Tamandua tetradactyla: one gene and its partners. The protein of the gene in region 2 interacts with the protein of the main gene of each other region in a biochemical or structural test. Links are inferred from orthologs where the notes say so. Each region holds a gene or a part of one and is shown on either strand. Other genes may lie near its edges.

What was found.
Region 1: the proteins of BMPR2 (region 2) and BMP4 form a complex in vitro, tested with the Homo sapiens proteins (2 studies listed by BioGRID). The link is inferred for Tamandua tetradactyla from reciprocal best matches to the Homo sapiens genes BMPR2 and BMP4.
Region 3: the proteins of BMPR2 (region 2) and BMP2 form a complex in vitro, tested with the Homo sapiens proteins (4 studies listed by BioGRID and IntAct, with this or other methods). The link is inferred for Tamandua tetradactyla from reciprocal best matches to the Homo sapiens genes BMPR2 and BMP2.
Region 4: the proteins of BMPR2 (region 2) and GDF5 form a complex in vitro, tested with the Homo sapiens proteins (2 studies listed by BioGRID and IntAct, with this or other methods). The link is inferred for Tamandua tetradactyla from reciprocal best matches to the Homo sapiens genes BMPR2 and GDF5.

The regions. Positions count from the first base shown.
Region 1 is NC_135338.1:12,344,137-12,352,143, forward strand, and holds the start of BMP4 (bone morphogenetic protein 4), read left to right. Parts: upstream 1-4,994; 5' UTR 4,995-5,081; coding exon 5,082-5,143; exon of another isoform or gene 5,144-5,353; intron 5,354-7,595; exon of another isoform or gene 7,596-7,807; intron 7,808-7,861; exon of another isoform or gene 7,862-7,886; intron 7,887-8,007.
Region 2 is NC_135329.1:177,097,952-177,105,493, forward strand, and holds the start of BMPR2 (bone morphogenetic protein receptor type-2), read left to right. Parts: upstream 1-4,526; 5' UTR 4,527-5,808; coding exon 5,809-5,884; intron 5,885-7,542. UniProt on the Homo sapiens protein: On ligand binding, forms a receptor complex consisting of two type II and two type I transmembrane serine/threonine kinases.
Region 3 is NC_135327.1:54,115,577-54,123,437, reverse strand, and holds the start of BMP2 (bone morphogenetic protein 2), read left to right. Parts: upstream 1-4,845; 5' UTR 4,846-5,722; intron 5,723-6,898; 5' UTR 6,899-6,905; coding exon 6,906-7,248; intron 7,249-7,861. UniProt on the Homo sapiens protein: Growth factor of the TGF-beta superfamily that plays essential roles in many developmental processes, including cardiogenesis, neurogenesis, and osteogenesis. Induces cartilage and bone formation.
Region 4 is NC_135327.1:17,071,318-17,078,332, forward strand, and holds the start of GDF5 (growth/differentiation factor 5), read left to right. Parts: upstream 1-4,004; 5' UTR 4,005-4,293; coding exon 4,294-4,918; intron 4,919-6,968; coding exon 6,969-7,015. UniProt on the Homo sapiens protein: Growth factor involved in bone and cartilage formation. During cartilage development regulates differentiation of chondrogenic tissue through two pathways.

The DNA of each region.
Region 1 (8,007 bases), on a different chromosome or scaffold from region 2:
ACTTTGAAGAGGGAGCAAGAGAAGCGATTCTTCGAAGCCTCAATTTCCTCCCTTCAGCTCATTCCCGGAGTCCTAGAGGTGGAGCCCGTTCCTTTTTGAAGCTCTTACCTCTTGATTGGGCTTCCTCCATTGCTCTCCTAAGAAATAAGTTATCCCGGTGACCTTTTTTTTTTTTCTCATGTAACTTATTTGGTACAGTCAGGTGTCCATGTAATAATCTTCTGCTTCCAAGACTCATCTCACAGTGGCAGTGCGAGATGACTCTTGTTCAGGTCCCACTGTTGAGACCCAAGAAGAAGGAGAGAGAGGGAAGGAGAAGATGTGTGAGCTGAGAGCAAAGTCATCTCCAAGGTTTTAATCTTCATGATACATTCTAGAAGAATTTAATTCCAAACAGCATGGAGGGGCAGCCTAAGCAGGAAGAAGTCAAATACCCATCACTGTGTGCCAATCCAGCCCTCCTTGTGATAACTATTCCTTGGAAAAGGCGCTTCTACATCCGTATCTTGTCTGCCATCCATGTATTAAACATGTTAATGATATAAAAGCAGTCTTCTAAAACTCGAATATCATTGGAGCTTGGATCAGCATTCTCTATTTTTGATACTTTACTTTAAAGGATTAAAAAAGAACCATATTTCAGAGAGTAGCAAGGTAACAATTTAAGGCATAGGGAACTCAAATAGTATTGCATTTTATTTGGTTCATGAAAAAAATTAGAATTCTAGTATTGTTTAGCTTTGAAGGATGTATATCAATGGTTGAGAATAGTCTCAAATGTTTGAAAAAGGAACTTTTCAATCAGATTAAAATTTATTCTTTAAACTAGGAAAAAGGAGACAGGTGTACATTTTACCAAGACGGGAAAAAAGTCAGAGGCATTAGGGATCATAAGATTCAGAGAGAGAAAATGTTCTGAATTTGTCATCTTGTCTATTATTTCCTTGCTCTCAGTAGGTCTGACTGCCCATTTTGTTCTTTACTTACTAGTTATCTTGGTAGACATATGTTCATGGGTCAGATCTATACAGACAAATCATAATGTTAACTCAGTGAATGATGATTTGTGTAAACAACATACCTTATTCAATAAACACCTGAGATATGTGTAGCACCAGGGATTGCAAATTAATGCGAAAGCATAACCCCTTCTTTAAAAAAGTTTATCGCTGATAAACTTCTTGGTAAAACTCGATGCTCAAAGTGGTTCTTCGTCTTCTACTTTGCTTTTTAATCATCGCCTTTGCAAGGAATAATAACAGCTAATATTTACTAAGCACTTGTATGCCTGTAATTTATCTACATGAACTCATTTAATACTTATAAAAGCACCATTCTCCAATTATAAATGAGGAAACTGAGACACTAGAGGGTAAGCTATCTGACCACAATCTCAAGTAGTAGGATAGATTTCCTCTCCTGGGACCTGAGAAAGACCTATGAGGAACCTGTTCAATCCTCACATTTTACCACGAGGACACTAAATCCTAGCAGAGGTAAGCAACTTTTTCTCAAAGAAGGTCACAGTTAAGTCTCACTCTGAGGTGGGCTGTGTGTTCAGATCAGAAGGAAATGAGCTTCATTTTGCTCTGTTTTTCAAGAACTTGGGAAGATATTCTGAAATTCCCAGTAAAGGCGTCTGCTAGGATGGAACGGCAGTTGGTGCCTTAGCATCAGGAGAGACTCCAGGACAAGGATTCTTCTGTCAGAAGCTGTGGCCAGAGTGATCTTGCAGGCTCAAGGCATCTGACCTGGGCTGAATTTTGAGTTTACTAGTTTACAACTCTATCATGCTAAGCAACTTCTCTGACTTTCAGATTTTCATTTATAGAACAAGGATTTTATGGGGGTATTGTGGAGGCTAGAGAGCAAATATGTAACAAATGGTAAATATTAATAAGAGAAAAAGAGATCTCTTTCTAATTCATCAAAATTTATCTTGCTTCTCAAAAGTTAGCAATGGTGCTGGGAATTCCTTTGGCGTACATCTTCATAGCTTCAATAAATACCTGATCAAGAAAGAAAGCTTGAAGACCTCATCTGGTTCTTAATGTGACATAGAAGCAAAGGCTACTGCTGCTACCAAGATTAGAAATCTTTTCACTTGCATAGACCTATTTGGTGTGCTTTGGGTATAGTACTGCTGTAATTACCACATTTAGCAGTTCATAAAGCATAAGCCAAACATATTCCTTGACTGTTTACTAATTCTTGATACCATCTTTTTAATAGCATCTACCAGCCCCATAAATATATGTGAAAGAACTGTTCAAACAGTGCTCAGAATCACTAGAGGACCTGGTTAAATATGCAGATTTCTGGGCCCAGATTGGGGGCAGGGCCAGGAATCTGTGTTTTATCAGCATCCCCTCTCTTAGTTCTCCAGCTTAGGATCCTACAGAACATATCTTAAGAAAGACTGTCTTAAAGGCTTATTGGCCAACTCGTCTTTCTTCATATTTTCCAGGAAAAATCCAACAAACACCCTTCATTCAGCACTAACAGCAGAGCAGCAACAGTTGTTTCTGAATCATCATTGGATATCTCCACTTGCCCGTGCTTTAAGAATAGAGTTTCACTTGGTTCATCTATATTATGTTCTATGAGAAGAACAAGATTCACAGGAGACTTGAGATGGGAAAAAGAAATGGACCAATTATCCTTGCCAACTTTGATACCTAGGCTCTGACTGACTTAGCTCTCTAACCAACAAGTAATTTGTTCTTGGCATGGGAAAGAGGAAGAAAAGGGGAGAAGACGAGTGGGTAAAGACAGTCAATACCAGATGGTTTGCACCCATCTTAAAGCATGGGGAAAGAAAAGATATCCAAAGAGAAGTGACGCTGAGCTGTTCCTACCACACATTTTACAATTCATAACAGGGTCTAAAGAAAGTATTTCAGGTGGCGCAATTGTACACTCCTGATTGTGAGTTTAACAGAATCATGGGCTGGTCAACGGCCACTTCATTGTCTGGGCTTCAGCAAAATGGGAAAACAATTATCATCCGAAAATACTTGGGATTAAACAACATTAAAACGCTATGGAGTTTAAAAATAAAATAGATAAAGCCCTGCTTTTAAGCAGTATATCACTCTTGTTTCTGAGTTTAAGGATTAAGGAACACTCTTAACTAATGGATTAAAACCATAGTGATTGATTTAGGGGGCTCAGGAAACATTTAATCTGTCCCAACTCTGTGTGCTAAAGGACCACACCGCCTAATGCCCCAGGAAGGACATTAGGTAGCTATTCAATAGAGTTTTAATTTTGTGTTGTTTTTAATTAATTAATTATAATTCGGATTTGTTGGAAGCAGGAGGTATATTGCGAGTCATCTTTTCTAAGTGGCATTACTGCCCTGCCCTGTCTCAGGGGTGATTTAAGATGAAAGAAGTTGTTGTTTCATAAAATTTCAATGAAATAATCTGACCATTTTTAGACTGAAAGAGAGAATGGAGATTATTTGGCCTAATCCTTTTATTCTCAGTTGAGAGACCTGAGATGTGTAGGAAATGAACTGACTTGTCCAAAGTCATACAGCTTGCTCGTGTGTTGTTTGATGCACTATTGAGCTAAAAGGCCTCGTCAGCGGTGTGATCCGGACACTTCCCACCCTTTGTCCTTTTCCACACATAGGAAGGAGTTCTTGTGTTCTAAATATTGAAGGTGTGTATAATGTAAAATTTTTACAGGTCAGCTACCCTGGGCCAGTATCTGTTTAAGTCAAGACCTAAAAGCTTTGCTGGGACAGGGAAGTGCAGTGTTTGTCTCCCAGAGAGAAAGTAGGACAGGGAATGCTGTCCTCCAGCACTCGTCTGGCTACCTGGAGCTCAGTGCTGGGATCTTTCACCTCACCCTGAAGCATCAACTGGAGGCTCCAGAGCAGAGGCTGAGATTTCCTTCAGGGCTTTGGGCAAGTCCCTTCCCCTTCCTTGTTTGTAAAATAGAGATGATGCTGATACCTCCCTGGTCGCACCATCACAGGCACTGTGTGAAATGAGATCCTGTCTGGGAAAGTTTTAAAGCTACCACATTCCACCTTCCCGCTAATACGATTACTAGTGCTTTCTAGAATATGAAAGGACCAACTCTTCACCACTTCTCCTTCCTTTAAAAACAGACCAAAGGGCATCTTTTCTTGTTTCCCGGTGGCCTACAAAGTTATTGCTCCAGTGACTGTCACTTCCTTGGAAGATGATAGAGCAAAGGATTCCTGGGTGTACACCAGGAAACAAACAAATCCACCATCCTCAAGAACCACAAAAATAATTCTGCTGTGGCAGTTAAAAGGGCTTCTGAGGTATATTCAGACTTTCTAACTGTAAGTAGCTCCAGCCTAAGTCCAGGCCACCTCTACTCCCAGGAAGTTTGGGCCTGTGGGGGAGGTGGGGGCAAGCCTGTTCACTGGAGCTCTTTTTGGGGATCATCACCAACGCTTTACAAAAGAAGCACTTGAAAAGATGTTCTGGGAGGAAAGCCACCTTGTAACAGCCGAAGAGGTACCACCTTCAGCTCTGTGCGCAGCCTGTTTCTCAACGTTTGGAAATCCTTTAACAACTTATGGAAGGCCACCCTTAAAACCAATCCAAGGGCTCCTTCCTCCATAACCTGATTTTAGAGGTGTTTCATTATCTCTAATTACTCGGGGTAAATGGTGATTACTCACTGTTTTAATAATCAGTTTGGGCAGCAGTTACTCTAAACTCAGGGAAGCCCAGACTCCCATGGGTATTTTTGGAAGGCACGGCGACTAGTCGGTGCATGCTTTCTAGTACCTCTGCACGTGGTCCCCAGGTGAGCCCCGGCCGCTTCTGCAAGCTGGAGGCAGCGGCGTCCCAGCCCCGGCGGCAGCTGAGGACTCGGGCGCTGCCGGGGCTTCCGGGACCCGGGCCTGGGAGGCGAGGCCCGGCGGCGGGAGGGGAGGATGTGGGCGGGGCTCCCATCCCCAGCAAGGAGGCGAGCAAGGGAGGAGGGACACAGGGAGGAGCTGACGGCCAAGAGGAGGAGGAAAGGAAGAAAGAACGAGAGGGCGAGAGAGAGAGCGAGAGAGAAAGAGAGGGAAAGACGAAGAAGAGAAGATGCAAGAGGGCCGAGGAGGAGGGCGGGCGGGAAGGCGCGTGGAGCCTAGCCCGGAAGCTAGGTGAGTCTGGCACCCGAGCCGGGGGACAGAGTCTGAGACCCCGCTGCTGCTCGGGGCTGAGTATCTCGCCTCGCTCCCTGATGGGATTCCGGTCCGAGCTGTCTCGAGCCTGCAGCGCCCCAGTCCCCGGCCCTCGTCGAGGCTCACTGCAACTGTTCCGAGGTCCCCAGAAGCTGCTGCTGGCGAGCCCGCTCTTGCAGGGAATCTATGGTGAGCAAGGCTGCCTGGCGAGGGGTGCTGGGCACAGGGGACAGAAGCGCATCCTTGCGGGCAGAAGCGGGATGCGGCCGGGGCAAAAGGTGGTCCAAGCTTTTTCCAACGGTGATGCTGGAAGTGAGGATGCTAGCGCTGAAAGACTTCCCTTACCTGCTATTGTCTCCGCCCAGGCCACCCTCTCCGTCGGGTGCCGGGGGCGTTTTCTACCTTCGAGAGATGTGGGCGAGGAGGGGAGGGGAGAAGCCCTTGCTAGGGGATCACTGGGAAAAAGATTGTAAGGTCGTGAGCTGAAAGCGCTGTCTGTGGACCGGGAGGTTGCGTTGCCCCGACGGGAAAGACCAGGCCAGGAAAGAGGGCGCCGGCCTTGAAGTCCGGAGAGGGTGAGGGGGCTGTGGGGCAGCAGGGTGGGGGAGAGAACCCCTAGCCAGCGGCGGTTCCGTCGTGGGAAGCGCAGTCCTACTGCCTTCTGGTGGGTGCGTGCCCTTGGCGGGGCTGCGTTGAGGGGAGTGTCACCCGATCAGGTGCCCCGCCGGCCGGACGTCCCCGAGAGAGCACGCGAATTACTCGGGCAGGTCGCGCCTCCTCCTTGAGCTCTTTTCGTGGACTTGCGGCTTCCAAGGAACCTCCCCTCTATCGTTTCGCGGTATGGAATCTGTAGGGAGGATGGCCGCAATGCCAGGAGCTCCAGGATGCTCCTCCTCGCAGTTGGCGTCCTAAGATTCACAGCTGGCAAGACGCGGCTCTTTCCCGGTTCTCTGTACCCGAAGCCGACGGGGAAGTGTCCCGAAACTTCCCTCCCCACGAGCGTCTGGCCCCACATCCTCAGATGCCTCCTGGGCTCCGCTTAAGTTCGCGGCTTGCAAGGACCACGGTTTGTGGGGTGGACGCTTTGTGAATCGTTAAAACGTCCAAAGACCTGGTCGGTAAACTGAGGCTACCTCTGAACAAGTTTCGGCGTTGGGAAGACTCGAGGAAAAGACGGCAAGAGTCCCGTCCCTGACCCCCGAAAAAAGGTTTTGGAGATGAAATTGGTCTTTCCGGCTTTTATCTTTTTGAATTAAAAATAATTCCGAGAAAAACGTATTAGAGACGAATCCTGCAGATTGCAAAAGTGAAGCCTCACCCACCCACATCACTCCCCCAGCCTACTCCTCTTAGCGCAGCTCAAGCCCCTTTGGCTGCCCGGGAAGATACCCAGAGGCCGAGGATGGCGCGGGGACCCGGGGCGTCCGTCCCCTGCATTGTGCGTTCTGCCCGCGGGAACCGGCCCGGCTCCGACTACTTCCCCCATTTCTGGGATTCCCCTCCTTTTTTAGGGTCCCAGGCGCCTTAAGAACACTTAGCCCTTTCTCAGCCTGCCCCAGCAGTGGCGTGAGAGCCAAAAAAGCCCAAGGCGGCTCAAAAAAAAAGAGCGAAGCTTGGCGCGGGGCGCGGGCGGTCGCGCAGGGGCGCCCGCGGCCTCCGCATCCCTGCCGGCCGCGGCCGGTGACGTTGGGCAGCCGCGGCCCTGGAGGAGGGCAGAGCTGCTCGATCCTTTTCTCCTCTTCCTCCAAGGCTTTCTGGGAGCGTCTCCCCAAAGTAAAACCAAGTCTTGGGGGGGAGGGGGAGGCGGGCAGCCCAAGCCCTCGAGGCCCGAAGCCGCCAAAGGCAGGAACTGGGAACAGCCTCGGGTGGGGTGCGCTGGGGGAGGGAAGGGAGAGTCGAGTCCCCAGCGTTTGGGCGGGAGTAGTGGGGCTCGGGGCCCTGCAGGCGGTCCCACAGGGGGGGGGGGGGGGCATGCGGTGTGTGTGGGGTGGGAACGCAGAGTCACACCAGGTAAGGTTTTCCAACAGGCCCTTGCGCTGGGCGACCCACGCAAACAGCATCTTCGCTTTGTGTCAGGCCATCTCAGTAATTCCTTGAGCTGTGGGTTAGTTAAATTCTTGAGGGAATATCTGCTGCGACTCTGCAGCTGGTGCAAAGGAGGAAGGGGGTGGGGGAAGGAAGTGGCGAGGTGGGGGCGGGAGTGGTGGTTGAAAAAATAAGCCAAGAAAGAGAGATGCAGACACAGAGGTCGAGTGCAGGCCGAAAGCTGTTCACAGTTTTCTTGACTCCAGGGAGCGTGGTGGGATTTCCTTTTTGTGTCTGGTCGGGAGTTGCAAAAAACCTCCGCGACATTAAGACCTGAAAATAAAATAAATAAATAAATAAATGTGATGCGCCCTTTTTTTCGCGGCGACGCCTTTTTTGAATCCACCCTGAGCCGGGAGCTCCAGCCTTCCACCCCTCCGCCTTGAACCCTTCGCCGACTGGTTTCTTTCGGGATTTGCTTTGCTGGGGGCGGAGGGAAGGGGAGATGGGAACTGGGCGGCCCAAGCAGTGAGCGGTTTTCTCCAGACTGGAACCAGAGCAAATAGCTTGGCGGCCCCTCCCTCTCCGCTTTCCCACCCGGATCCCCTCCCGCCCTCGGTGCGTGACTGGGTCAGCGGCTTTTGGCCGCGAGCAAAAAGGGTTGCTCTTCTGAGTCCTCGCAGGCGTGCGCCAGGGAGTGAGTGGCTGTCGCGTTTCCACTGGGGAGCAATAATTGGCCTCGCGGAGACCCTGGGGAAGGAAGTGGCGGGGCATGAGTGTGTGTGTGTGTGTGTGCGTGGGGGGGCTCCTCAAGCACT
Region 2 (7,542 bases):
TCTTGAGACAAGAGGGCTTTTACATCAGGTTTCTGCCTAACCATTGGTTCTTTCTAATCATCCAAATTTCAGGTTAAGTGACACTTCTCTAGACAGGCCTTCCCTGATGGGTCCTTCTAAGGTAGAATAGCTGTTCTTCTCATATTGTCTCTCAGTGCTAAGAGGTAAGTTATGGGCACACCCAATGACACACATGATCCATATCCTTGTATCCTTTCCCCTTGAGAGTGGGTGGAGCCTATGACTTGCTTCTAACCAACAGATTATGGCAAAGGCAACTGAATATTAATCCCATGATTATATTATGTTATATAAGACTCTGTTTTTAGAAGACTGGAGTGAGAGAGACTCTCCTTGCTGGTTTTGAAGATCTAAGTTATCATGTTATAGGGATGTCTAGGGACAGAGAAATGTGGCAAGGAACTGCAGGGGTCTCTGATAGCTGAGAGTAGCCCCTAGCAGAGAGTTAGCCAGAAAATGGAGGCTTTCAAAGACTGTGTGTATCTGTGTGTGCGATTTCACTGGGCAGGCATATGTGTAGCTCAAGGACTTCAAGACCAGTATGTCTAATATTCTGTTTTAAGATTTCCCTTACCATGTTATAATTTTTTTTTTTTTAACTCTAAGTCTCAGTAAAATTTTTAATCACATACAGAGTATCTTAAAGAATAAATGGAGGATGCTTGTATCTACTCTGGCACTGGCAAGGAAAAGCTCTTATGAGATGTCAGTAAAGACGTTCAGAGCAAATCAGGTACATTTGGGAAAAATATAAATCCTCCTCTGGGATCCTTCAAATGCTTGGGGAGGAGCTAGGTCCTCCTGTAGTCAGTCACTCAGGACTCAGCCACTTAGATTATTTAATTTTGCTCTTGAAGGGAAGGGTAACCACAGAAGCTAGGATAATTACAATTTCAAAATTTTAGACAAAAAAAGGAAGGAAACAAAGGGGACAAGAGGTCTAAGTACCCAAAGAAAAGCAATTTGTTTTCTCCTTTACATGTTTTCAAAAGAGAGAGACTTAGGTTGCTTTTCGGTCCAGAGGATGTCAGGACTGTCAATCTCCAATCTCATTTTCCTTGTATTTCACAACTGAGAGTTTTTCCCCTTCTTCCTGTATCTACACCTTGGTCTTCTAAAAGGAGACTCTTCCATGTCCCATTTCTCAGTTTAATCCTAAGGATTAAATCCTAAAATTTCCAAGCAGCTTCAGGTAGCCTTCCCTGAAGGGTATGCCCAGTGCTAACATTTGGTCTCCTGTGTTTTTTTTGCTAGAGTTAAGAGTTTTTCTTCTATTTTTTCTTTGACACCACATCTTTATGATTTAAAAGTTTGGTCTTGGAAGTATCCAAGCCCAGGTAACTCCTATGTGTTCTCATGCATGTAACAGAGATTTTGCCTTATTCCTTATTCTAATTCTTGTTCTAATAATCTGCCTTCTTAAGATCAGGGTTTTGATTTGCTTTTGTAAATCCTCCACCTCAGAGAAAAGATCATTCCATGAAGGGTCCTAATAAATAGTTAAGGTCTATCAGTCTCCCAGATGCTATTGGTTTGCCCACCTGGATATCTCTGCTGCTTCCTCTTCCACCAAGGTTCCTTACCCCAGAATTTCTCCCATAAGTTAGAAAACACTCTTATGTGTTAGGCTTTGGAAAATATTTATCCTTGGACACCATGGTAGTCATTAGGGCTGTTCACAGATATTCTAGTAACACAGTAGGATTACACTTCACTTCTCTTTTGAAGTTAGGTTTGGCCTTGTGATTTCAGTGGTCAATAAAATGTGAATGAAATTCACATTTATTGAAGCGTGTTGCTTCTGGGTAGAAGCATTTTAATAGAGCAAAACACTGCCACACTAGTAATTGAATTTCATGATCTCTACTGTGGCAATCTTGAAAGCCTGGGTCTCAGTGAAGCCTCTACCAGTCTGGGGCTCTTGGTGACTGCAATGAACAAAGCCCATTTAATGGATGCTGTGATGAACTTCCCAGATCTACCTTTTAGAACTGAAGTAACACTTGCTCCTAATTGCTGCAAATGGTGACTGACAGCTCTCAGCTGGTTCCCTCTCTGGGAGTTGCTTTGGGCTGAAGAGAGCCCTCTCACACAAGGGCCTCTCCCTTCCCCAGGTGCAGCCCATAAGCAATCACTGGTTGATGTGGGGGTATAAAGACCTGGCCCCAGCCTCAATTTAGGACAATGCTGAAGGGCCACCCCAGCTAAAGGGCTCCCTACAGGATAATGTAAAGCTCTTTTGCAACTGTGTAACAGTTCAACCTCTCTCTCTATTCAATCCTGCTTCCCTCAGTCCCCACAAAGGTTGTATTGAGAGCACTATCCAATATATCTCCTGATCACAGAGTTTCAGGGTCTACTTCCTGGTGAACCAGACTTGTGATAGACCCCCTGATGACTTGTGCCTAACATGTAGGGTGTGTGAGAAATAAATTAATGTTGCAATAAATTACTCAGATTTGGGGAATGTTTCTATAACCTAGCCCATCCTGACAGGTACAGATGTTAAACCTCACCTGCCAGCCAATCCTTTGTTCTCAAAGAGCTTGACTCTATTGCCTGTCTTGTCTTGGTGAACAGGCCCAGTGCATAGTTTTAGTTCTTTTCTTATGTTCTTTCTCACTGTGAGTGGACAGTCATGTCCCAACTGGAGAGGAACAACAGGAAAAGGAAGAGGGTGGTCTATCAGGTTGTCTACTAAGTATTCCTACCAACAAAGTGGCAAATAGAAACTCCTTTCTCTTTTCCGTGTAATTTATCACATATGTACAAGGGTGCTAAATGTTTCTTAGAAAAAAATTTATGCAAATAAAAGTTGAATAATCAAATACATAATCCCAAGTTGAGGAAGAAAACCTATATATTACTAATAAACTTTCTGTATCCCCAAACATACCGAAACCCTATTTCTCTGGATGTTTGTCTCATTTCTTAAAAGACAAAAGGTAAAACAATACCATTTTCTTATTTTAGGCGTTTCGGGCAAAACAAAATTACAGAATCAAAGCATATGCTCCTTTCCCCTCTTCACTTAAGGGACTTTACTATATAGAAACATTTCTTTCTGCCTGGAGGGTAAACAGTACAAAAATATTTCAACTAAAAAGAGTCTGAGAATCTTGGGCTGGTATTACCAGAATCCATAAATAAAAAAGATACTTAGTTTGATAACAACAACCAGTTTAAGGACTGTCGAGATTTGTTTACATCAACGTTGGATAAAAAGATAAAAGCGGCTTGAATAAGCAAAAGCAAAGAGTATCTCTAGGAGTGTATCTCTGCATGTATCTTAGCAACTGCCCTTAGCCACAATGAAAGACCAGCAAAACCAGCCTTCAGCATTACCCTTTGCTTAGCGGGGGAGGGGAAGGGTAAACTTCACCTCTACCATTCCCGTACCCCCACCCCGACCCCGCAAAATTTCCACCTCGAAGCTCAGTAGTAAAACCAGACTTCCGATCATGGCGACACGCACGTCACCTTCTTCCCTCTGCCCTAGCAATATCCTACCCAAATCGACTTGATCAGGGGTGAAGGGGTGCAGGGCGGCGAAGAGCGACCCCCTACTCTCATCTTCGTCGCTTGGGTACAAACGAGATTTACAAATCTTAAAAAACAGACTAAACAGATCGTTTCCGGATCCAGGGAAGCTACGGTACCAACCGCACCTTCCCATTTCCTTGGGTGCCAACACTCGTCCCCAGCCTCTACCCTGGTAGCAACTCTCCACGGCTTTTCTTCTCAGCAGCCCTGAAAAGCTCCCCGCCCCCAGCTTTGTGAATAAAGGCCCACCCTCGAAGTGTAAACCGCACTGCAGGCAAGCACGTACAGCAAGACGGCTTATGGATTTTTAAAAGAGAGCGCTTTCTTTCTGGCTTCACATCCTTCCAAATGTTCAATATTCCTGTCAGCTAAGAATGGCGAAGGGAAAGGTGCTTGAGGAATGCTGTACGCCAATGAGAGCAAAAAAAAAAAAAACCCACACCAACTTAGGGGTGGTCTTTCTAATTCTGGCTTTTGCTTGAGTCAGTGAGGGAAGACCGAACAGACTAAGGTCTCCGGTTCGGGGAAAGGCAGGCCTGTCTGGATTCTTTGGGCTACGGAGAGGAAGGCTCCGGCCCGGGGAAACAATGGAGCGGCTCGGCTCCTCGAGGCTTTTCTCCAGGAGACACGGAGGAGACGGCGACGTCTCAGTCTGGAACTAAATCACGGAGCTTAGAAGACTTAAGAGAAAGCTGGACAAAAGATGTGGCCGCCATCCCAAGTACACACACAAACGCCAAGCCATTCACGTAAGGAAGGTGTGCGTGTGTCGAAAGGAAAAGGCGTTGCTGCCCACCACGGGCTGCCGGCCCCACCCCCGGCTCTAGGCAGCTCAGGGGCCGAGACCCGCCGCGCGAGGGCCGCCGAGCGCTGCCTGGGCGGGCCGGGAGCGAGGGGCGGGGCCGGGCGGGGCTGCGGGCGCGCGGGCGCAGTGAGGGTCTGGTCGCGCCGCCGCCGCCGCCCGCGCTGCACCACAGGCCGGAGACAGACTGGGCCGGGAAGAGCCGGAGACTGAGGAGGAGGAGGCGGACGCGGAGGCGGAGGCGGGGCGACTCCGGTGACCGAGAGCGCCGCAGACTGGCAGCTGCGGCGACTCCCCCCCTTTGTGTCTGGTCTGCGCGGAGCCACTGGAAGTGCTTCCCGGAGGGGCGCTGGGTGTCTTGACCCTCGCTGCCTAACCCCCTTCCCGGCTACCAACATCCGCCCTCCCGCCGTCCCCGCCCTCGGCCCGAGACGCTCGAGCTCCGCCCGGAGCCCAGTGTTGCGGGAGAACTAGGCGGCGGAGGCTACGGCGGCAGCGGCGGCTTCCTCCTCCTCCTCGAGGGCTTGTGATTCGCTCACCGGAGCCAGAGAGGGAGGAAGATAAGGCTTTCACGGTGGAATTTACCTCAGAATCTAACTGCAGGAATAAAAATCAGAGAGGATAAGAGAAGAGTGCACCGGGAAAGGCAAAAAAGAAAGGGCAGCCTCCCCGGCACCCCCTTGCACCAGCAGCCTCCCTGCCGACCCCTCCCCTCCCCCGCTCCCCACCGCCCCTCAGCCCTCCGGAGCTGCCCTGTCGGACCCTCGCAGGATTGTTCCGCGAAGGCGTGAGAGCTGCGAGTTTGCCCATGGAGGCAGTCACCTTTTTCGATCTAGTCGAGGAAGAGGGTTTGTAGCTGGTGAAATCGGAGTGAAGGGAGCACCGAAGCGAAACTTAAAAAAAGGAATCCTGCGCTCCCGGAGCCCCGGGCGATGCGACTCGGGCCGCCGGGCGCCGCCGCTGCCCACGGGGCTTCGCCCTTCCCGGCGGTGGGGGACTGGCTCTGATCTCGCCCTCCTCCCCCCTCCCCACCCCCCATCCAATCCTCGACCTCCGCCCCTCTGCTCCCTGGATATGTTTTCTCCCAGACCTGGATATTTTTTTGATATCGTGAAACTGCGAGGGAAATAACTGCAGGGATTTCTTCTCGGTTCCCTGCTTCTCACGGACATGCCTTCAGTTTGGGAGGCCGAAGCACCCCGTCCTAGGCGAATGAACCCCCGCCAGCCGCGAAGGAGAGAAATGTAGGGGATTTCTACAGCGGAATGAAAGCTCTGCTGCTGGGTCTTCTCATCTGCCATTTGTCCTTTCAAACTGCTTTGTAACGCGGGCAGGATAAAGCAGCCGAGAGAGAAGACGAGCTTCCTGGCAGTATTTCTCCGCCCGTATTTACTTTCCATATTTCTTTTTCTTTGCCTTCCTGCTTCTTGGCTGGCTCAGGGATGCCTTCCTCTCTGCAGCGGCGCTGGCGAGTGTCCTCGCTGCTATGGGCTGTCCTGCTGGTCAGCACTGCGGCCGGTGAGTAGCCCCGATGGCGCTTCCCGGCCACTTCCCCTGCGGTAGACGAGGGAGGGTACCGCAGAGGCCGAGGCCTGCGCCCGTGTGCCCGCGCGCCTCTCCCGTGCCTTCCAGGGAAAAACCTGCAGGGTTTTTGTATGGTTTCCTATCCCCCTCCCAAATTCTCACCCCCTACTGAGGAAGAAAAGACATGTTGGGTGTGGTATCTTGACATTTTTAGCTGTGAGGTAATGCAAGGATTAAAAATAATATTTTAATCACCAGTGAACAGTGTCTATTATGAGATCTTTAGAAACAGAGCTATAATTTTTTTTTTTTAATACGAAGAAGCGAATTTGGCTTATAGGAAAAAGAGCAACTATAAACATACACGAACCTTATTTTTAGATTTAGAGCACTCTTCGGAAATCCGTGTTTCTTTCATTATTCAAAAATCTTATACAATGAATAGAATAAATGTCGTGGAAGCCAGAACTGTGAGATTCTTACTACATTTATAATACTGTTAATTATTATTAGCTTTAGTATTATTTTACAACAGAGTATTTTTTTAACGATATCTCCATCATGTTATTTTGGATCCTTATACTTTATATGCTTTTGGAATTATTGAGCACGGAAGTGTTTTCAGTAACTTTTCTAGTAGTCATCTGGCATCTCTTGGCTTTCCTGTCATTGAGACAACTTTGACCTGACATCAGACTTACAAGATATTTGAGCCCTGAAAGTTCTTTGACCTTTTACTGAGCTTAAAGGGATATGGTAGTCATTCTTTCCCTCGGATATTTTCTTTTTAGTTCTCAGACACCTTAGAAAAAATGTTCCGATTGCAGTTACTTCTCAAGCAGTTTTTTTGTGGTCTGCTTTTAGAGATTTTCTATAGTAAATAGTTACATATAATTTTCAGATTTGGTTCAGGATGGCCAAATAGATTATGCATTTATAAACGAGTCATGAGCAACATGACAGTTTTCTAATTATTCTTTTACTTTTGTAAGTGTGTAATTTTCACAGTCATTAAATTTCTCATTGTTGTGTTAGACACAGGAGTTATTTCCATCTTAAAAATCTGCCCTGGAAAAATACTGAAATTGAAGTTTCACTTTTTGCTTTTGCTGTTGTTGATTGGTGTCTACTGTCTTTATGAAAATTTATGCACTGGTGTTAAGATAATTTGAATTTATGAATTGAGTGTATTTTGAAACTTCTATTTTGTGAACTTAATTCTTTTTGGGGTAAAAATAAGCGATTGTTTTCAAAGTTTCTTTATATTTTGTGTTAGCTATTTCAATTTTCTAGCCTTAAGCCATGTGGCTCTTGTAAAATATGAAGAGTCAAAGGCCTTATGCTTAAGCATTCATTCTGTGAGCAGAAACCTCACACTAGACTTTTCAGTGTTCTTTGTTATTCTTGACCATTTGAATGCAGTTTCTCATTTATAGTGCCATGCTTATTTTCTGATCAGACCTGATAAAAGTAAGAGGAAAACAATTTAAAAATAAACTTAATTTCTATTTGCTAAATATTCTTAAGATTGTGTCCCTTAAAGGGTTAGTTTAAAAGAAGCACTGCTTAAAAGTGGTTTTAGTCTTTTTTTTCTTTAATATTACATAGCGTTATAAGCCAAAATCTGTGAAGCTGAATTTCAGAGCTATAAT
Region 3 (7,861 bases), on a different chromosome or scaffold from region 2:
TTTGGCTTCCCAGTGTAGAGGCAGGGTACATCACTAGTCCTTATCATTACACACACCTTTGCAAAATATTTCTTTATTAAACGCTCTGAAACGGCCTCTTTGGCATGGCCCTCGTTTTTCTGCCAGGACCCTGCCTAGAGAGTTGAGTAATCTTCTAGAACTACCTTACCCCGATCCAAACCCTCCTCCAAATCTGAACCATTTCCTTGTGCCCTGCAAAACAGCAGCCTACATTTTCCTATCCTGATGTCTTGGCTTTTGGCTGCTCCTACTGTCTGGAATTGGGAGACCATTAGCATGGATTCTAGAATGGGCTATTGGACTTCCTACATGCTAGTTGTGAGATCTTAGGAAAATGGCTTAACCTTTCTAAGCATCTGTCAAATGAGCAAGGTTCTTCTGAGGATCCATTGAAACAACAAACAGAAAGCAGCTAGTAAAACTCTTTAAACTCAGAAACTAAAGATGTTGCTGGAAATCCTGCTACTGCTACTGCTGACATTTGTAAAGTATTAATCCTACTGAATCTCTGTTCTCCCTGAAATATTCCTTTCAAATGCTCTCTCTACTATGAATTTACTGGACTCACATTTCAAAGTGAGATTGCTCTCCATTAAACCTGACACACTTGCTTCTCACTTCTCTGAAACTCTTATCTCATATGCCTTATATGGATAATCTGTGAACATGTTCCATCACTTCCACTGAATTCTAAGTACATTACGTGCAAAGATTATGTATTTTTCTATTCTCTGGGACCTGAGTGACATAATGTCATGGACATACTAGCTGCTCAGTAAATTTTTGTAGAATGAATATGCAAAGAGAAATACCATGTGGGCGCTTTGTAATCTAATTAGCAAAAGATCAACACATTTTAATACACTGACTAGATATACAAATATATTGACATATGTTAACTAAATAATATTTAATGGCTATCTAAAATCACGTATTTGGGAAGACATAATTATTTTTCAGAAGCATGTATTCATTCAACCCATATTTTTGGACTCTATGGAGTATGAAAAAAATAACATAAGCCAAAAATATAACTTCTAAGTACAAATGACATTAGTTTGCATAAATATAGTGATTCAAATTTTGCAACTTTTTGTTGTCTTTGCATATATATTTTCATGCATTCTTCATGTCAGTCCCATGAGAAGGTCATATATTGATCTCTACATTTTATTCCTGAGGAAGCTGAGGAAAGGAGATTAGTTATTGCTTTAGATCGATCCAGGTGTTGAGCTTTATGACATAATACCTCACCGTACAGCAATGTGATAAAAAAAAGAAAAAACTGTTAAAACAACAAAAGACATACAAAATCTTATCTTTCAAAATCAGGCCATATTTCAGGCAGAAAGCTGAAAACTATATTTAAAGATACACAGATAAGTAGCAAATGGCATCTTGTGTTTGTATAAACATTTAAAAATTCTCCAGCCCATCATTACCAGTTGAGGCGGCAGAACAGAGCCTATTTACCCTATCAACAGATGGGTACAAGCGATGACATTTTTTAATTATAGCCTATATTTGCCTGAAAGCCGGGACTCTGACTTGGCATACATGTCCACTCCATCCATGCCTCCTACCATGTCCAGTTAAATAAACACCAAATAGGTAAGAGTTTGTTAGAGTAGACGCTGCTCTTTTTCTGTGGTTCCAGGTTCCTCAGAAAGAACTTCATTTGGGTGAAGAACTGGTATCTGGTGTCCCAATGGGAAGTAAATGATAGGTATGCTAAAAAGCCAAGAGTTTTCTCAGGGAAGTTGCCACAGGTTTCAACAGAATGACAATTACAAGGTAAATGGATTATTTAATGCCTGCTGTGACCTTTACAATATGCGGGGATCATTATTTTAATGTTAATTTGCATAATGGTTGGTCTAGTAAGAACAAGGCTGAATGCTAGCAGCTGCAGGATGCAATAAAATTAAACATTATCTGGGCTGGACTGCTAAAGGAAAAGTTGCCAAAGGATGACTCTTTAAGCAATTAATTTCACCTTGGGCTATGTCCGTACACAATCAAATGCAGATTTCCTGTATCTGTTGAAAAGCTGGCAAGAAAAATGGAATGGAGTAGCAACAACCTACTGCATGTGGAATCCTTACCTGGCATGCTTTTCGTGTATCCCCTTTAAGGCATCTGAATTTGCAACCACCACCTCTCCTCCAATCACCCCTTTACCCCCATCTATTGGCAGACATACCAAATTTGATACCAAGGAAGAATGAATCTTGCCATTTGGGTGAGATAACTTTGACTGAAACTGAGAAATGTAGAGTTGACAAAGGCTAGTCATAAGTAGTATCTTCAAGGCGAACACACACTGCCCCCTCAAAGTAATGGGAGGTCAATAACAAAGAGAATGAAAGAAAGGAAGATTATTTCCATTTAGATGTGTCGTTTTTAACTATTTCTGTTGCCTGGCATTGGAAAACCAGTAGATGTGGCCATCCAGGACGTAGTACCCCAAACCAGTCCTTAGGAGATGATTTTTATTTTATTTATGTATTGACTCCCCCCCCCCCCACCCCCACGAAGGCGTTCTGACTCATTTCCACCACAAGAGGGCAGCCATCTCTAAAAAACAACCAGAGAGCCAGGCTCTTAAGGGAGAAAGGCCAAAATTTAGGAAGATGTGCTTAGGAAAGGCATGCGGCAGCCTCTCAGCAATTGCATTCCCACCAGAAGAGATCCTGTGATGGGCAACACGGAAATTGAATAGAGGGCCCTGCAGTGCCCATCTTCCCTCAGATTCTTGACGAACAAAGATGAGTCCATAAACAGACAAGCTTCTTTTCTTAAGTCATGAAGGCCTAAAGCTGCAAAACATCTTTGATGTCATCACCAAAATTTGGTTTCCGTGTTTGCTTGGGGTGCTTCCAATAGCGATCAACTTGCCCCTCCTTTTTCAAGGCTACATAGGTTCGAAACTGAAAGCTCACCAATAACGGAACCTGCTGTTAACGTCTCAAACCTGATAGGAAAGGAAATCGTTTCAAAAGCACAATAAACACTATTTGACTTGGGTCGATGAGAAGAATATGTTTTATTGCTTGTCCGGTGTGGAATGATTCAGAATGACAATTAGCTTTTATTATGCTTTATTTTCAGGGAATAGAGAAAAACGTTTCTGTATATTTTGCACACAAACTCCCCTTTTAGTTTCCTAGTAGGCAAACTTACTCCAAAATACCTTACTTGACCTTTATACCTTCAGAAACAATGAGTCCCTAATTCCCCTCTGTGGGTTGCTAATCCGATTTATGTGAGCAGAACCTAGAATTATTTTAACTTCCCAACCGAAAAATAATACACAGGAATAATAGATTATTATTAGTTCTTGCATCTGATTTCTCTATCTCTTTGCTTGCAGGCACCAAGGCTCTGGTGCAAGCCAACCGATTTGGGGAACCAAAACTTTCCCAGAATTTTTCAGCTTTCGGCTTAGGGGATCATGTGGACAACTGGGTCACCGCTACCTATTGGGACTCCTGGAATTCTGGGAGAGAAAGAAGCCTTGACCCCGAGACTCAGGAGGCAGAAGGGCAGCAGCTTTGGGGAATATGTGAGCTCAAGAGGAAAAGCGACTTGACCACAAGTCATAGCCTCGCTGCTGGAGGCGGGGCGGAAGGGGTGGGGGGTGGGGGGTGGGGGGTGGGTCAGAAGTTTCTAAAGTTCCAAACCGGAATTATCTTGTATGCCTGGCTCACGCTGTGCGCTTTTTACTGTCCTCTGGGCTGCTAATCTCATGCCCCCGAGCCAGGCGAGATAAATATCGATATGGCAGCTCGAAGTGATTGCTGCCATAAAAAGATAAAACCCTTCCTTCCTGTCCTCTTCGGCTGGTACACACACAGTCCACTTGCACATCTGTCATATACAGCGGGTTGACATCTATTTCACATGTATACACATATTAATGGAATGCGTCTTAGTTTTCCTACATCTACATACACGATATAATTATGTACACCAAAGTGTTAGGGTTTAAACACACCCAGTTTCCAGCCTAAGGTTTTCTTTCTCTTCTCCCCCCCTACCCCCACCCCGGGAAAACACAGACGTGTCTACTCCACCGTTTTGACATCCCCCCGAACTTGGATGGGTTTTTTGTTTGTTTGTTTTTTAATCGCCTATTACTGAAAAAACCTTCAAACTAAAGTTGAATAACGGGCCCCGCGGGGAAACTGGGGCCTGACCCTTTATTTGTCCGGATTTCACCTCGGGAGCCCCCGCGAGGTCGGGCGCTCGGGATCCTCTCCCATTGGAGGGCAGGGGCTGGAAGCGCGAGCGCCCCCCTCGGCCACGCGGCTCCCGCTCGCGGCCCCACCCGCCGTCGCTGCTCGGGCGCGCCGTCCACACCCCTGCGCGCCGCTCCCGCCCGCTCGGGGATCCCCCGCGCACTGCGCCGGCTCGCGCAGCCAAGGGGGAGGTGTTCGGCCGCCGCCGGGAGGGAGCCGGCAGGCGGCGTCCCCTTTAAAAGCCGGGAGCGCCGCGCCACGGCGCCGCCGCCGCCGGAGTCCTCGCCCCGCCGCGCCGCGTTCGGCTCGCGCTGCGCCCGCCGCTCAGCTTCCCACAACCCGCCGGGGATTGGCAGCCGCCGCCCGACAGCAGCCGCCGCCGCCGCCGCCACCGCCACCGCAGACCCGGACGCCCCTGGAGGCGAGCGCCGCGCCGATTCCTCGGGGGCTCGGAGACACCCCCGCGTCGCGCACTCGGATCGGGCTGAAGCGTCCGGCAGTGCGCGCCGCAGCGCCGTGGCCTCGGCTGTCCGGGCCGCGACAGAGCCGCGGAGCTCCGCGCAGAACGCCGGGGAGTTGGGAGCCGAGCCCGAGCGCCGTGATGCCGAGCACCCCCCGCCGCGGTGCTGGGGCCCGGGACGCGCCGCCTGAGTTGTGATCGGACATCAGGCTGGCCACAAAGGGCAGGGCACTTGGCACCGGGGGATTCGAAGAGCGCGGCCACCCCGCCTTGGCGGCTCGGGGACTCGACTCGACTCGACTCTCTCTCCGGAGAATGCGCCCGAGTACGACGGGGCGCCGGAACCACGGCGGTTTCGCTAGTGGAGCGCTAATGGGGGTGCGCTGGAGTAAGGCAGAGTGATGCGGGGGGGCAACTCGCCCGGCACCGAGATCGCCGCAGCCGCTGCACCCCTCCCCGGAACCGGCGTCGCCCAGGATGGCTGCCCCGAGCCATGGGCCGCGGCGGAGCTAGCGCCGAGCGCCCGACCCTCGCCCCCTGCGTCCCGGAGCCGGCCCTGTGCGGGGCCACGCGTCCCGCGGGCGCTGGTTCCTAAAGACGACGACAGCACCAGATTTTCCTTTCTCCCTTCCCTTCCCTGCCCCGCAGTCCTCCCCCCGCTCGCTGTTGTTGTGTGTCAGCACTTGGCTGGAGACTTCTTGAACTTGCAGGGAGAATAACTTGCTCTCGTGCCGGTGCCTCTCTCCCAGCCGGGCCAGCCTCGCGGCCCTGAGCCCCGCCGCCTGTCTGCTCCTCGGCTGGTCCGGACCCCTAAACGCCGTTCCCAGTGCGGAGAGGGCCGCTGCCCAGCAGGCGCCCGGGAGGAGGCAGAGAAGGCAAAGGAAGGGAGCAGACACCCAGTTCCCGCGCCAGGTCCTTCGGCCAGAGCTTTTTCCATGTGGAGGTTCTTTCAATGGACGTGTCCCCGCGTGCTTCTTAGACGGTCTACGGCCTCCTAAAGGTAGAGAACGCGGGCGGGGGGCAGGGGAGCGGAGGTGGGGGCGGTGGACGCGGGACCCGCGCGGGGCTCGGACGGCCGCAGCGGCTGAGCCGTCCCAGGGGCCGGGCTGAGTGGACGTAAACAGAGCGCCCTCCTGGTCCACGTGCAGCCGAACCCCTGCGGGGTGCCGTCATCCTGCCGCCCCCGGCCACTGTGTAATCTCGCCCGCCTGTCTGTCACTCTTCGACCCCCGACCCCCTGGGTATTTTATTAGGGCTGTTAGCGCTTAGATGATTTTAAAAAAAGAGAGAATCAAAATCCTTTAGAGAGGGTGGCCCTTGGATTTCACCCGTTAGCTGCCAACCTGTACCCCTGCAGTAGCAGTGCCATCTTCTCCAAGTTTTTTTTTCCGGAGACCAGCTCTCTATGTGGAGCCACGTTCCATTTGGAAAAGCACTAGAAGTTGGGGTTCTCCCTGTGTTTCCAGACATGCGAGGAGGGAAGTACTTCAGTGCCTCCTTGTACTGTATTTTTAACAGCTGACACGTGAAACATTAGCTATTAGTCATTCACGTAATCCCAGGGAGATGTATGTGTATCTTGTCTGCGGTAGAGGTGGGCGGGGGTGGGGAAGCCTACCCTGACGCCCCCGAAGTTCGGGGCGTGGGTCACAAGTTGCGAATGCTGTTCGGAAGTTGTGGCCTTGAGTTTACAGGGTCTGGAAGTTGTAGACTGTGGGTGTGTGTATCAGGAAGTCTATACGGTGCCTCTAAGGAAGTCACATGCACCATTTTTTGCATGTTTATATGCAAGCGAGCGCTGTGTGAGTGTGTTTGGGGTTTGTATAGGGGACGCAGATTTGTCGGATCCAGGGGCAGTTTCCCCAGGTTCCCTGTACTTGCTGTCAGCGTGGGTGTCGCAGAAAAGAGGTGATAGTCTGCAACGATGGGGGCGGGGGTGAAACCCAAATCCGAGGGCACATGGGTTGAGAATGAGATGGGAGGGGGAAAGCCATAGGGCTGTGGAACGAGGGGCCCTCCATTCTTCCCAAATATCCGAGCGTCAGCTCCTCTGACTTAGCCCAGTTAGTGTTGCAAGCCAGGTGGGCACCGTGGAGGAGGTGGCAGCAGACCGAACGAGGGGCAGGGGTTATGTTGTGCCGGGAACTCGGTGACTCACCGTCGATCCTGTCTGCAGGTCGACCATGGTGGCCGGGACCCGCTGTCTTCTAGCGTTGCTGCTTCCCCAGGTCCTCCTGGGCGGCGCGGCCAGCCTCATACCCGAGCTGGGCCGGAGGAAGTTCGCGGCGGCGTCGGGCCGCTCCTTGTCCCAGCCCTCGGAAGACATCCTGAGCGAGTTCGAGTTGCGGCTGCTCAGCATGTTCGGCCTGAAGCAGAGACCCACCCCCAGCAGAAACGCCGTGGTGCCCCCCTATATGTTGGACCTGTACCGCAGGCACTCGGGCCAGCCGGGAGTGCCGGCCCCGGACCACTGGCTGGAGAGGGCGGCCAGTCGCGCCAACACGGTGCGCAGCTTCCACCACGAAGGTGAGCCGCCCGCGGAGTCACCGCACCAAGCCCTCCTGGAAGGGCACTTTGGCCAGGGAGCAGTGGGTGTTTCCACTCTTGTCGCTGTTGGAACCAGGCTTTAAGGCACTGCTTGTGCAGTGGGGGAGCCAGGGATTCCCCTTAGTAAAGCTGTACCTTTTTTTTTTTTTTTTGGCGTGCAGCCAGAAGGGCGACTCCTCCCCCAGGAACTGGAGAGAAAGCAAGTGATGGGGAAGATGAGGGCAGAAGGCATGCCCCCTGGTCAGCTAAACGTGCAAGAATTCCATAGGGAGAGAGGGGAGGGGGTAAGAATCGGGATTTCTTTGTCTGTTTGGAAGCCCTTACTCTATAAATCTCTTCTCGTGCCAAGCCAGGGTTTCAGGCTAGACAGAGCCAAGGACAGAATTTTCAGAGATAGTATTGGAAAATCAAAGCCCAGGGCCCTAAAGTCTTTCTAATTTACAGTTGATCTGGGTCTGGGTTGGAAGGTTTTGAATCCCTATCTAATCCCCGTGGGAGATCAATTCCACAATCAATCTTATTGTTTCCACAATGACTTTCTTGTCTTGTGCTTGAGTCTGAGATAGGCTCAGAGTAGAGACAAGGAAAGCCT
Region 4 (7,015 bases), on a different chromosome or scaffold from region 2:
GACACAAACTGTCCCCAGTGCTCGTGCTCTTTACCACTTTGCTGTGCTAGATGGGCTTGTGGAGAGACCTCGGGAGTTCAGATATCATAACGAATGTGATGCCACTTTGAAAACCGCTAAGTGTTTGAAAACAGCAAGGGATTGCTATTATTTGGTTTAGTGCTCACCTGTGAGATGGGCATAATAATCCCTGGGCTAGTGACTTATAAGGATGATTTTTGAAGTGCCAATGAGATAATGGATGCGGAAACATTTTAAGAAGTTAAAGGCTCTAAATCGTGGAAGAGACTGCAAAGATTTTTTCCATGCCAATGGTTTCCCAAGGCTCCCATCCTCTACCTTGAGTTTGTCATAAATATTGCTGACAGGAGAGGGGGAGGTGGGGGAGACACAGGGAACCCAGGGACTCTACGTCCCAGTAATTAAACATGTCGGGACTCAGGCGCTGCCAGCAGCAGCATCTGGTTGCAATTACCAGAGGGGACCAAAGTGATTAGTCACCTTTATAGTGAGAGCCAGGCAGGTCCCCTGGGCTCCTCCCTTGAGAGGGCCTTCAGACCAAATTCAGAGTCCCCTTTCCCTGCTCCTACCCCATTCCTGAGGGTGCCCTAGTCCTCACACAGCCCCTGCCCTGAGACTCCTCCATGTCCCCAAGGTTCCAGACCAATGGATGAGACCTTGAGTAAAAGCCAAGTCTATTATAGCTGCCCCCACCACCTTTTTAGGTCTTCCGTGTTTCTGGAGCCCAGATTAAGATTCTTCGGTACAGAATGCATCAAAGTGGGAATTAAAAAGTAACTTAAGGGCAGGCAATGGTGGCTCAGTGGCAGAATTCTCTCCTGCCATGCCGGAGACCTGGGTTCAATTTCCGGGGCCTGCCCATGCAAAAAAAAAAAAAATGGAGTAACCTAACCTCTCTGAATTTCAACTTCCTCAGCTGTAAAATGGGAGTATCAAGAGTATCTTCAATGTAGTGTTGTTGTAAGGATAAAATAAGATTAAAGTGCAATGCAAAAGGACAATAGGCCAGAGTCTATTGTAATAAAGAGCCCAATAAAGAGGAGCTATTATTATTATTTGCCAGTTGCTAGGCTAATCAGCATTTTATGATTCACTTCATTATATCCCTGTGAGGTGGGTACCGTCACAGGGTTTAGAGGTTTAGAGACTCCCCAAGATCATACAATGGGTAAATAGCAGAACCAGGTTTCAAAACCAGATCTGTCTGTCTCCAGAGCCCTTGCAAGGATGTCTTACTTGTTTGACTAATTCCCCCTTCATTTAGTCAATCACTCAAGCTTACAAAGTGCCTATTAAGTGAGCAAGATAAAATCTGTCCCTTTAAGGAACTCAGAGACAAGCAGGGAAGGCATCATTTGTCTGTGAGTAACTATACCTTAAAGTAGAAAATGATGGCTTTCACATTAAAGAGCTGGTTAGAGATTCATTCATTCCATACATACTGCAAATCTGCTGTGCGTTGGGCCCTTTGCCAAGGACTAGGAATAATTCAAAAATACATAAGTATTTTAGTCTAGTCACAAGCTAATGGGGGGACACAGATATGTAAATAAATCATTATGACTATAAGGAATTAAATCATATTAAATATATTTTAAAAGCATGCACAGAGTGGAAGCAACGAACTCAGCTGGAGACGGGGCAGAGGCAGAGACTGAATAATCTCTGAGATGCCAAAATGGAAAAGGGTACAGAAAATGTATGGTGTAATTCAGAAGGATTTGTATTTGGTGGTCGGGTGGGGGGGGAGCAGCTGAGGGAAGGCTTCCTGGAGGAGGTATCACGTGAGTTGGCTCTTGTTTAAAGGGTAGTTCTTAGAGGGAGGGTTGGAACAGAGACATCCTGGAGGCCTAGAAGCCAGGTATAAGGGAATTGCAGTAGACCAGCACTGACTAGACAGTGGAGGTAAAGGGGATGGAGAGGAGAGAAGGAATACGAGAGATGTTGGATCTTGTGACAGATTCAAGTGGAGACAGGTCAAAAGGGAAGACAACAGTTGTGAATTTTGGTAACTAGAGGGATAGTAATAAATTCAGTCATTTCTTAAAGAGTTCCCCAAAAGAGTGCCTGGTGGTACATTGGTCCTTGGAGATGGGGAGGTATACCTCTATTGAATTTCCTGATCTCAGCACCAGATAAAGCTTGGAATGACCAAATTATGCTGAGAAACAAATCTGGTAACCTCACGGTACAAATAGATCTCCACTAGGCAGGCTTATGATAGACAAAGGTGGAAATAATCCAAATGTTCATCAATGGATGAATAGACAAACAAATTGCAGTATATCCAAACAGTGGAATATAATTCACCCATTAAAGGAACAAGGTACTGATAAATGCTGCAACTTGGATGAACCTTGAAAACATGCTAAGTGAATGAAGCCAGACACAAAAGGTCATACATTGTATGATTCCTTTTATAGGATATATCCAGAATAGGTAAATCCATAGAGACAGAAAGCAGATTAGAGGTTACCAGGGGAGAGGGGAAGGGGGGACTGGGGAGTAATTGCTTAATGGGTGCAGGGTGTTTTTATGGAGTGGTGAAAAAGTTTTGAAACGAGAGAGAGTTGGTGGCTGCACAACATTGTGAGTAAACTAAATGCCACAGAATTGTACCTTTTTAAGGGGTAAATTGAATATTATATGAATTTCACCTTAATAAATAAGGAAACCTACCTGACTACCACTTCTCACAATGTGACAAGCATTGTAGTGAGATGTAGAAGAGGGAGTGACTGGTTCTGTCTGGGGACTAGGGGAAGCTTCCCCTAGGAGATGAGTTTTCAGCTGAACCTCTCAGGATGAGGGGACCTCCTCCAGTGTGGGAGTGAGAGGAGGACATTCCAGGTGAAGGGAATCAACTTTCCCTCTGCTGACCCCGCAGTAAGTTGCCCAGAGACTCTGTGGGGGAGGCTCCCAAAAGAAGGAGGCTTCAGTACTTAAAGGAGGCACTTTAAAAACACCTTTTGAGTTCAGCTGTAATTCAGACTTCCCGAGCTCCCAGAAAAGTATCATGTGGGGAAATCTCTTTTCTGGCTTCCTGCAGGGGCCGCTGCTGCCTCGGGCTGGGCTGCCACCTCTGGCCTCAGCTAGTCCTTTCCAAGAAAACTCGGAGGACACCTTTGCGGGGGTGGTGGTGGGGTACACTCTGGACCTGCCTCTGTCTGAAGGGTAGGCTCAGGAGTGGCAGTGCCCCCCAAGCTTGAAGAAATCATCTGAGCTCAGTCAATGGCATTTGAGGGGAGGGGTGTAGTGGGCACTGATATTTCTCTGGGTCACCACAAGTTTATTAAAATAAAAGAAGCTGTGGGTAAATGCTGCCATCTGTGCTGTTCCACCCCCCAACCCCCACCCCTGGCAACACACAACAAATCAGGCCCCAGACTAGACGCAGGGGTTGTAACTGCTTTAAAAACACTCCAAGGACTTAACTGAAAACCCAAACTCCTCATGCTTCTGGGGCTTAAGATCCTGGAGTTCATTCCTCAGCATCTCTCCTCAGGAAAGTGGGGTGGGCTGCTCCATGAGGTGGAGGTGAAGACCCCTGAGTCTGCGCCACAGTCTGGGAGCCCCTAAGCTCAGAGTCCTGCTGCGGGGCTCTGTGCCAAGAGCCCCCGTGAGCCACGGCCTCGAAAGGGCAGCGGTGATTTTTTTCACATAAATATATTGCACTTAAATGAGTTTAGACAGCATGACATCAGAGAGTAATTAAATTGGTTTGGGTTGGAATTCCGTTTCCAATTCCTGAGTTCAGGTTTGTAAAAGATTTTTCTGAGCACCTGCAGGCCTGTGTGTGTGTGTGTGTGTGTGTGTGTGTGTGCACTCACGCAAGTGAAGTATTTTCACTGGAAAGGATTCAAAACTTAAAAAAAAAAAAAAAAAACTGGAGCATACAGGCAGCATTACGCCATTCTTCCTTCTTGGAAAAATCCCTCAGCCTTATACAAGCCTCCTTCAAGCCCTCAGTCAGTTGTGCAGGAGAAAGGGGGCGGTCGGCTTTCTCCTTTCAAGAACGAGTTATTTTCAGCTGCTGACTGGAGACGGGTGCACGTCTGGATACGAGAGCATTTCCACTATGGGACTGGATACAAACACACACCCGGCAGACTTCAAGAGTCTCAGACTGAGGAGAAAGCCTTTCCTTCTGTTGCTACTGCTGCTGCCGTTGCTTTTGAGGGTCCATTCCTTTCATGGTTTTTCCTCCCAAACCAGAGGCACCTTCACTCCTGCCACCATTCTCTTGGGTGCCATTCAGCGGCTGGTCAGAGGATGAGACTCCTCAAACTCCTCACTTTCTTGCTTTGGCACCTGGCTTGGCTGGACCTGGAATTTATCTGCACTGTGTTGGGAGCCCCTGACTTAGGCCAGAGACCCCAGGGGGCCAGGCCAGGATTGGCCAAGGCAGAGGCCAAGGAGAGGCCCCCTCTGGCCCGGAACATCTTCAGGCCAGGGGGTCACAGCTACAGTGGGGGGGCCACCAATGCCAGGGCAAAGGGGGCCACTGGGCAGACAGGAGGCCTCACACAGCCCAAGAAGGATGAGCCCAAAAAGCTGCCTCCCAGATCGGGTGGCCCTGAATCCAAGCCAGGACACCTTCCCCAGACAAGGCAGGCTGCAGCGCGGACTGTGACCCCAAAAGGACAGCATCCTGGGGGTAAGGCACCCCCAAAGGCAGGAACTGTCCCCAGCCCCTTCCTGCTGAAGAAGGCCAGGGAGCCTGGACCCCCTCGAGAGCCCAAGGAGCCGTTCCGCCCGCCCCCCATCACACCCCACGAGTACATGCTCTCGCTGTACAGGACGCTGTCCGATGCTGACAGAAAGGGAGGCAACAGCAGCGTGAAGTTGGAGGCTGGCCTGGCCAACACCATCACCAGCTTTATTGACAAAGGGCAAGGTGAGGGGGCGGGGTTGCAGGGGCACGGCTCACAGGGAGGGGCATCTGCACGCGCAGAGGGGCTTACAGAGGCCTGACACTGCACTGGAGGGAGACGGTGTGTGCATCTGGTATGGGGTGGGTGTCTGGGACTTACCTCATATGTAGCAGGACCCCCATGGTGGCACATCAGAGTTGAAGGGCACCTAGAGATTACCAAATCTCATTCCTTAAGGGGCATAAGGAGACACTAGACCTACTCAGGTCATACAGTCTATTGGTGTGAGTTGGGGACCAGACTCCAAGATTACTAGGTCAAACTTTTCAGGGCCAAACTTTCCAGGGCCCAGGGTTTTGTGGGTTTTCTCAGAGACAGAGAGAAAAATGAACCTCTAGATTCCTATGGTTCAATGATTTTGTCCTCAGGCAAGGAAACAGAGGCAGAGGAAAAGAAGACAGTAAATGGGGCATATTGGAAGCATGGAACAATGTGGAGATATGTAGACATCTAGGGTCTAGCTCAATAGGGGACCTTGCAAAAGACCTTTCTCCCCTCAGAGTCTCAGTTTCCCCTTCTTTATGTGGGGGTTGGACTGGATGACTTCTGAGAACCCTTCAAATATGAAAACTATGCCCTGTCCTGGCAGAGCTAAGCAGAGATAATTTTCATCATTAGCCCAGGGGTATACCTTCTTCCTTCATAGCTCCTTCTGCCCACCTAATGTTACTGCTTGGCTTTTCCTCTAAGCTTTCCCTCTGACCCCAGCAAGTCCCTTCCTTCTCAGGACCTCAGTTTCTCTGTAAGTGTTAAGAGGGGAACAGACTAGCTGATTGCTCTGGTCGTCATCCTCCGGTTCTGTGAGTCTCAGGACTGGCTGGCCCAGCAAGGGAGGGGCCATTCCTCATTAGAGCAGGCCCGTGGGGGCTGGGTAGGGGGGCAGGGAGGCACAGAAGTAGAAGGTCTGGCTGAGGAGGGGGAGGTGGCCTGGCTGCCTGCCCAGCCAGGGAAAGCTGTGACTGCTTGGGGGCTCATAAAGTAAGTCCTTGTGTCCCCCAGCACTAAGGGAACTTGGGGAGGGAGAGATGGGGAGTTTAAAGGTCTAATTAGTCACCTTCTAGAGCAATATATGAATGCTCCCCAATGGCAAGTTGGTATTTAGAAAGAAGGGCATGCTCATTCAGATATACTGCTGAGCCTCTCACACAGTCTTTTATTTATACACATGCTGAATCACATACACACACGCATGCCTTCTTACATATATATGCACAGGGATCATACACATACATACACTTGTCCATTCCTTAAGTGTTCATACAAGCCCAATCATACATACCCATGACATGTCACTCATACATGAACATAAGAACTCAATCATTACACATACACAATCTGTCACATACACACATTCACACACCCAGCAGATAAGATAGATACACAATGAGATGTTTAGACTGGAAAGCCAGGGAAACTGCACTGTAGACCAGCTTTGTCATTAACTTGCTGTGTGCACTTGGGCAAGTCACCCCCTCTCTGGGCCTCACCTGTAAAACGAGAATACTAGGGTCTCCTTTGAGGTAAAGTGGAAGCAACTCAGGATTGGGTATAAAAAGTTCTAAAGTTCCGGTTCTGCTTTTTCCTAGCTGGGTGAAACTGAGCCAGTCTCCTAACTTCTCTGAGCCTCAGATTCCTCCTCTAAAAATAGGAGAAGTTATAATACCCTCCCTACCTCACAAAGGAGGTATCAAATTAGATAATGGGTGGGAGAGAAATATGTAGAAGGCAGTTATAAAGATGATGACTCTCAGCTACACATAGGTCTTTGACACAAGCATCTGGAATCACAAGATTCCAGCCACTCAAATCATCCACAGTCACATTTACAATTAAACACCCCTACTTGCTCTGCTTTGTGGGAAGCTCCCTCATTTTGAAAAAGTCTCTCAGTCTTCGCCCTGTCAGAGAGGGGAAGAAGGTAAAGAAAGCTCTGCTCGTGGCTCACCCCTGAGGCCTCAAGGTGACTAGCTCCTTCAGTGGGGTGCAGGGAATGATCTCTGGTGTTCTCTCTAGATGACCGAGGCCCTGCGGTCAGGAAGCAGAGGTACGTGTTTGACATT